Cricetulus griseus: one gene and its partner. The protein of the gene in region 1 purifies or fractionates together with the protein of each later gene. This does not show direct contact. Links are inferred from orthologs where the notes say so. Each region holds a gene or a part of one and is shown in the gene's direction. Other genes may lie near its edges. The genes, in order: Taf5l and Tada2b.

Region 1 (3,808 bases):
TTTAGATGCAATGGCTTTTCAAGAGGCCAGCAGGAACAGAGAGAAGTTGAAGTGGGCTGGATTTTCTGATTCATGAGTGATTTGAATCATTGGTCTTCACTCTGCAGGCTTTCATTGCACATCTCCTTTAGAACTTGCTAGGATTCTATGGGACTGGAGAGATTGCTCAGAGGTTAAGAGCACTGGCTGCTCTTCCAGAGGTCCTGAATTCAGTTCCCAGCAACTACATGGTGGCTCACAACTGTCTACATGACAGAACACTGTATACATAATAAATAAATCTTAAAAAAAAAAAACTTAAATTGCTGCTAGAAATACATGCTGCAGTACAGGGTCAGCGAGTAGAGAAAATGGTCCTTTGCACTAGGTTAGCAGGGCAAGAGAGTCTTTCAAAGGCCTGGTACTCTCCAGATTATGGTCATGGTGGCCAGTAGCAGAAGGAATTAGCTGTTTTAAGAGTAATTATAAGGAGCACTCCTGTCAGGTTAAAGGAGGACATTTGAGATCTGGAGATAGATTTCAAGACAGTGACTGGGTGCTAAGTATCATTAAAGGGTCCAAGTTACAATTAGATACACCAGCCAAGAACCAGCATAGTCTGAGGGTAACCTGAAATCTGAAGGACTTTGACTGATGTTCTAGCTATCTTGATTTTGCTGGAAGACAGGAACTCTTCTTTACCTCCCCCCCTTCTTTGTACACTATGTTTTGATTCCTTCAGTTCTACTGTATTCATTACCATCCCTCCATCTACCTTCTAGTGGCTAAATGTGGCATTTTCTTCAGGTCACTGTAAAGATGACATCTTAACCCTTGGCCCCTAGCTTCCATCTGGAAGTCAAGGTTGGTACCACCTAAGTGGGTGCTGGCTGCAAGGAATTTGAGGGCAACCTTTCCATTTCTCCATTTGCAGAGCGTCAAGGGCTCTGAACATTTTGTGAAAGTTTGCCTTAAAGTTAAAATAGGAATCAAGAACAATATGGTGTAGACTCTTCACTGGATGGTTCAGAAAGCTTGAGTTTCTTTTTTAGGAAGCATAATTCAGGCCAAGTATGATGGCATACTCCTGTAATTCCAGCACAAGGGGCAGAAAGATTGAGATTCCCAGGTTAGCTGGGGGCTGCATAATGAGACCCTGTCAGAAAAAAGAAAATATAAAGTCAAAAAGTGCATGTTCGCATGCTAAATATTGAGACCCCAGGCTTCTTCATGTTAGCTGCCCAGAACACTGCAGCCAACCTTATTCCCCAAGAAGGCTAGTGAACAAGTTTGCTGGATTATGACCTGCCCAGGATTACAGACCAAAGACATTCTTTGTGAAACTCTGTTCATGCCCTCCTAAGTGATCAGGCACATTCCCATTATCCCTAAGGTGTCCTGTTTCACTGCCTTGGGGGAAATGTTTCTCTGACCACTGTGCATATCATAGTATTGCGACAAGAAGATAATGCTGCCTAGGGAAAGAGAACATTTTGCCAGGTAGGTGATGATAAAAAGGAATGTGAGCCAAATTAACTCTTTCCTTCTTTGGAAAAATATAAAAAGGAAAATCAACAAAAAGGTTGAAGATTAGGCTAGGTGTGGTGGTATACACCTTTAAATCCAGGGGAGGGGCAGAGGCAAGCAGATCTCTGAGTTTGATGCCAGCCTGCAGTCTTGGGGGGGGGGATTAAAAGTTAAGGAAACCTCCCTATTAGTAAAGCAAAAGGATGAAGTGTAGAGAAAAGATGTAAATGATTTTTAGAACTTCCAACTTTTAAATCAGGAATCTTGGAAAATTAGAAGGCAGGATCAGAAACAAATGAAGACTGTTGCTCTGAACTGGGAGGCATAATACCTCAAATTGACAGACCTAGCACATTGTAACACATCAGCGTAGACTAGATGTTTCAGATGAATTTCAGGGCTATTATGTGCCTATCCTCTCTTAGCTTAATTTATCTGATGCTCTCTAGCTTTTCATTCGTCTGCCCTCGTTTTATGGAGTGTCAGGGGAGAAGAGAGACAAACAAATATTATCAGCCTGCCCCAGTCTCCCAGAGCCCTAGAAAGTCTTACTTAGAGATGCCATTGGACTCTATGCCCTCTGTTTATCCTGCTGCATAGTGCATAGTAACTACATTCTTGCCTCTGTCTTGTGTGTCTCCTCCTTTAGTCCAATCAGAATCTGGTTGTGCCAATGCAGTGTCTGCAGCCCCTTGCCAGGCAGAACCTCAGCAATATGAAGTACAGTTTGGACGACTGAGAAGCTTTCTTACTGGTAAGTCCTTGTTAAGAAACCAAATAATGTAGATATCCCTCAGAACCTCTTGTATTACAAGCATAGTGTTAGGTTCTAGGGAGTCTGGTTCTTTTTTGTTTGGTGGCTGTTTGTTTTTTCAAGACAAGTGTTTCTGTGTAGTCCTGGTTGTCCTTAAACTTGTTCTGTAGACAAAGCTAGCCTCAAACTCAAAGATCCACCTTTCTCTGCTTCCTGAGTGCTGTGATTAAAGGCCTGTGCCACAGTTCTTGTGTACAAACAGAATTTCTGTGAAAGTTAGATCTTGATGTTGAAGTTTGCAAGGATAGAGAGAGAACTCTGTGTGTCCTATTCACTGTTTGCCTGCAGCTTTTGGCTTTTGACTTCTGAATAAATGAAGGACAAATCATCCATAGAGAAAGCATCCTTTAAGTGAAGTGAATTTGAAATGTAGACCATCTTTCAGAGTAGTGCTCATGATTTGGATGAAGAACTTAGCCATTATCAGTTAGGCAGGTCATAGATGAAATGACCACAGAGACACAAAATCAGTGGATTTGTGTTCCATTTGCTTCTTCTTGATGCATTAATGTGAGTTTTTAAAAAACAAAACAAACAAAAAATAAACAGTTGCTTAAGAGGAGCCATTTAGTCCATGGTGGTAGCGTACACCTCTAATCCCAGTACTAGAGAGACAGAGGCAGGCAGATCTTAAACCATGTTTTCTGGTCCTGAGATGGCCAGTATTAACTTAAAATTGAGGAGTTGCAATAAGAGAACCATGTTGATTCTGAGTACTAATCTTGTTGAATTCCTTCTGTAATCACCTTTTATAAGAAATAAAAAAGCATACTCTGCCCTGGAAGGACTGAGAATAATTAGTGGATACTGGTTTAGTGTCACACACATCTAATTCCAGCATTCAGAAGGAAAAGACATGGATTTCTGTGAGTTTGAGGCCAGCCTGGTTTACATGATGAGTTCCAAGCCAGCCAGGGTTATATATTAGTGAAGCCCTGTCTCAAAAAGTATATAAATAATTTGAACTTATCCAAGAATAGTGGCACCTTAATACATGAGAAGAAGGGACATCAGGGACAGTTCGAGAACATCCTCATAGCAAATTTGAGGCTAGCCAAGGCTACAGGAGACCCTATGTTAAAAACAAACCAAAAAAAGGCTAGAGAGAGATGGCTCATTATATAAAGGTGATTGCCGGGAAACCTAACACCCTGAGCTCAATCCCTGAGAGCCACTATAGTATCAGAAGAGAACTAAAATACTATGGGTGCTGGAGAAATGACTGGTTCAGCAAGCAGTTAAAAGCCTTTACTAGGGCTGGAGAGGTGGCTCAGAGGTTAAGGGCACTGACAACTCTTCCAGAAGACCCAAGTTCAATTCCCAGCAACCACATGGTGGCTCACAACCATCTGTAATGAGATCTGGTGCCCTCTTCTGGTGTGCAAGCATGCATGCAGATAACTGTATATATAATAAATTAATAAATAATTTTTTAAAAGGCCTTTACTATTCTAACATAGGAACCGAGTTTGATTCCCAATACCCACT
Region 2 (4,313 bases), on another chromosome or scaffold:
TCGTAGCGTCTCGGAGATCTTCTGCTGTAGGTACATATTGTAGCGCTGGTACCGGTTCCGCTCCAACAGCAGGGTGTGGTACTGGTTCACTAGCTCACCGCGCAGCTGCTCCTCTTGCAGCTTCCGAACATCTGCAGACCACTCAAAGTCTTCGAAGTCCTCATTGTCTTCCTCTTCCATGTCCTCATCCTCTTTGCTTTTCTTGTGTTGTTCTCGACCTGTCGCCCGGATCTCCTCGCTACCTCGCTTCTGCTCTGACTCCTTTGCTTTCTCTTTCTCAGCCTGTGGGGCTGGAGCAGCCGCCTCCTCGACGATCGTGGTCAGTGGCAGGGAGGGCCGGAACCGTGACTCCTTGCTCTTCACCTTCTTCACCTTGTCCTGCTTCTCCCGCCCGGCGGGTTCCTCATCCTCGTCCTCGTCCTCGTCTTCATCCTCGTCTTCGTCTTCGTCCCCCTCCTGGAACTCCCGCTCGGTCTCGGGATGCGGCTCTGACAGACTTTCTGGCTCTCGGGACACGGCCTCGCTCGCAGCCTCTGCTGTCTCGCTCGCAGCCGTAGCGGCCTCCAGACTTTCCTCGACATGAGCGTCATCACTCCCCTCCAAAACCTCTGCTTCAGTGTCGTCCGCAACAGGTTGGGTCTCCGCCTCAGACTCTGGCTCTGGCTCCGGCTCCGGCTCCGGCTCCGGCTCCGGCTCCGGCTCCGGCTCCGGCTCCGGCCCGGGCTCTGGCTCCGGCTCCGCAGGGTCGGCCGGGGTCTGAGGTTCAGGTTCGGAGCTGACCTTGGTCTCGGACGACTGCCTGGTCGGGGCTTCCTCAGTTCCTCCTTCGCCCTCGGTATCCCCGTCGTGGCTGTCCATGCTCGACCCGCAGTCTCAGGTCTGAGGACCGCGGCCGCCTGCTGTTAGGTTTCCCGGGGCAACCAGGGCGCGCGCGGTGGGCCCCGCGATTGGTCGTCCGCCTTCCTTTTCTCTCCGCCTCCCAGCAATATTAAGCCAATGAAGGACAACGAACAGGTGAATGTAAGCGCTGATTGGACACTGTCTCTTGAGAGGTGTGGCGCAGCAGACCGGCTTCCGGTCTGCGCCTTGCCGGCTGTCAGGTTTGGGGCGGGGCCTTACGGCTTCGTGAGTCCATGAGGCGGAGGGAGGCAGCGGCGCGCAGGCGCAGATCGGAGGCTCGGCTGCCCGCAAGAGGGCGCGCGCGGGGCGCCTGCGCGATGCGGCGGGGAGACGGCGGCGACGGCGGCGGCTGCCGGGCCGGGCCGGAGGGCGCCTGCGTGCTGAGGCGGGACGCGGCCCGCCTGGCGGGCTCCGGCGGCGCCTGGGCGGGGACGGCCGTGGCAGCGGCCGGCAGCAGCGCGGGCGCGGTGGGCGCAGTGGGCTCGACAGGCGGCGGGGCGCTGACGGCCGGAGGCGCGGCGACTGCGGGCCGGGCGGCGGGCGAGCGGGGGAAGATGGCGGAGCTGGGTAAGAAGTACTGCGTGTACTGCCTGGCCGAGGTGAGCCCGCTGCGCTTCCGCTGCACCGAGTGCCAGGACATCGAGCTGTGCCCCGAGTGCTTCTCGGCTGGCGCGGAGATCGGCCACCACCGCCGCTACCACGGTTACCAGCTGGTGGACGGTGGACGATTCACTCTCTGGGGGCCTGAGGCGGAGGGCGGCTGGACCAGCCGCGAGGAGCAGCTGCTGTTGGACGCCATCGAGCAGTTCGGCTTCGGCAACTGGGTGAGCGGCGGGCCCTGACTAGAAGGAAGGCATGGCTGGCTGGTTTGGTGCACGCTGCGGCGGGCCGCAGGTGGCCGGACGGGATCGCCCAGAGAATGCTGGGCGCCCATGGCTACACAGCTGGTAGAGCAGAGCCTTGACCCGTGGCCCCTACACCGAGCTGTCTGCCCTTCACACTCGTCCTCAGAATGTGTGCATTGAACGCAGGCGGAGGGCAGGCCCTGTACCTTGCCAAGCTTCTACTCGAGCCAGATGGCAGCAATCGAGACCCTGCTGTCCCTTCTGAGTTCCCTGGTAGGGTTGGGTTCTCCTGGGCACAGTGATGAGGAAGGCTAGAAGCCTGGGCTGCCCATCCCGCATGCACTTAGTCTGCATTCAGGGCTTCGAGTGCTTTCTGTGGGTGTCAGCATGTGACCTGAGCTAGGGTTCTCCGTGGGTAGCAGTGCCTTGTTTAATTCTTGCTCTCTACAGCACCCAGGACATAGTGTGAGAGGTGGCCAGTAAAGAATGAACAAAGGCCTCTCAGTGAGGAGGCATGTAACCAGGAGTCTGCTTTCTAGCTGTCAGGTTTCAGTAGATGTGTCTTGCTGGTGGCAGGAGCTTTGGTGTGCCAGCCAGATAGTGTGCTGGTCTCCTGGTTGTTCTCTAGGGATCTCTAAGGAGCTTTCCTTCTATTCCTCACCTTTATTAGGGAAGAACTCTGTCTTTGTCACCATTACCGCCAGGCACATATAGTATCTTCAGGCTTTCAAAGAAAAGGGAGCTAAGTATGACCCTGTTCTGTCCAGACTCTTTCCCGGTATGGTTGGGTACTGCTTCTCTAAGCTTCCCTACTCCAGCCATACTGCCTTACTATTCCAGGTCATCATATGCAGTGAGTGACCTTTTGGACCCACCTCCCCCACCTAGGAAAGATTCTACTTTACAGATACTTTCCTGATGGCCAACACCTTGACTCCTGCTCTCCAAAAACATCTGGTTGCTTTGCCTATAAGTGGTGTTGTTGGTGTATATTGAGCATTTGATTTGTATAGATCAGGCAGCATGAAACACCCTGAAGAAGAGCCTCAGAACTGAAAATGTTGCATTCGTTTGTTCTGTTCCTCTAGCTTGTCTCTACCTGATGACATCCATTCCTCTCTATATCATTGCCCATGGTGACCCAGCCTCACTTTGTGCTCAGCTACAGAGTCAACTTAAAACCTTCATCTACATCTAGTTGTTTAGCTGTCATCTATTTTTAAAAATGTGCCGAATGTAGCTGCTAATTCTGGTCTGAACCACGCTGACATTTACCTCTTACTGTTTTAACATCTCATGGTTTACCTGCTTTCTCCTTGTGTTCTATAGCTCTTCTCACACACCAACACAGGTCTTTTGAAACATAAGCTGTATCTCTTTGGCTCTCAGCAACTTCCAGTTCTACTTAGATTACATTACAATGCCTGCAAGGCCTGACAACATCTATGGTTCCCTGTGATCTCATGCTTACTCTCTTGATGAGTTTTCCTTTCTTCTGCCTACAGTGCTTTCACCCTAGTCAAGACTACTGACTGATCTTTGTCCTTATGTGTCATTGCTTCAGAGAGACGTTTCTTCCTCACATCATTCCTCCAGCACTATCTCTAGAGTAGCCACTGAAAAGAGTGAGAGTGTTAGTTTTGGGGAGCCCACTGCTGACCTTGTTTTATCTCCTGAAACTGGGCTGGCTATACCAAGTGGAAGAAGAGGCAGAAAGAGTGTAAGAGCCAGAGGGGGGAAGAGGACACAAAGAGACAAGGCCCTTGTAATCAAGTGAGCACAGCTCATGTGAACTCACAGACTGAAGCAGCAAGCACAGGGCCAACATGGGTCTGTACCACATCTCTGCATTTATATTATAGCTTTCAGTTTAGTATTTTTATGGGTCTCCTGAGTATGTGAACGAGTGGGTCGCTGATTCTTGTCACTTCTCTTGGGGCTCTTTTTCTTCATTGGTTTGACTTGTCCAACTTCGATGTGATGGTTTTTATTCTATCTTATTATATTTTATTTTGCTAAAGAAAAGAAAGGAAATCTTGGGCTGTAGAGTCCGCACCTCAACTAGTGTTTGTGCTGCATTGGTGTAGCACAGTCAGAAGCACATAGCACCCAGGCATGGAAGCATGTAAAATGTGGATGAATAAACAGGCTGGATGGGAAGGCCTCTTCTGAAGCAGCACTTTCAGGCTTTAAGGCCAGAGGAACTTGAGTCAAGATGCAGGTTCTCATGAGGTCCAGGCTCAGCTTTGGAAGAAGTAAAGCTCAAGAGGAAGAGTCTTGGGACTTGGCTGCCTGTGTGTAGTTCATGGACTGCTACCTGCTGAAGCAGCAAGAGTCTCAGGGCCGGTCTGAGAGATGCAACCACTGATCCTCACACAGAAAGAGGAGGCTCTGTGACTCTGCTATCTGTGCTCTCCTAGACCGGTTGCTTTATTCCTTCAGAGGCACCACAGCTTAGATATGTGGTTCTGTTCTGAGCTTGCATGCTATTACACAGAGTATGTCCCAGTTTGGACCTGTGTAGAGCCTGTACTAGCTCTATACTGTATCCTTTATGTATGCAAGTCA

Evidence for each region.
Region 2: the proteins of Taf5l (region 1) and Tada2b purify together in Homo sapiens (affinity purification with mass spectrometry; 3 studies listed by BioGRID and IntAct, counting the BioPlex papers as one, with this or other methods). This does not show direct contact. The link is inferred for Cricetulus griseus from reciprocal best matches to the Homo sapiens genes TAF5L and TADA2B.

The regions. Positions count from the first base shown.
Region 1 is NC_048596.1:200,688,620-200,692,427, reverse strand, and holds part of Taf5l (TAF5-like RNA polymerase II p300/CBP-associated factor-associated factor 65 kDa subunit 5L), read left to right. Parts: intron 1-2,155; coding exon 2,156-2,260; intron 2,261-3,808. UniProt on the Homo sapiens protein: Functions as a component of the PCAF complex. The PCAF complex is capable of efficiently acetylating histones in a nucleosomal context. The PCAF complex could be considered as the human version of the yeast SAGA complex.
Region 2 is NW_023276807.1:105,487,052-105,491,364, reverse strand, and holds the start of Tada2b (transcriptional adapter 2-beta), read left to right. Parts: upstream 1-1,370; 5' UTR 1,371-1,454; coding exon 1,455-1,724; intron 1,725-4,313. Other genes in the region: Ccdc96 (coiled-coil domain-containing protein 96), read right to left, coding at 1-858. UniProt on the Homo sapiens protein: Coactivates PAX5-dependent transcription together with either SMARCA4 or GCN5L2.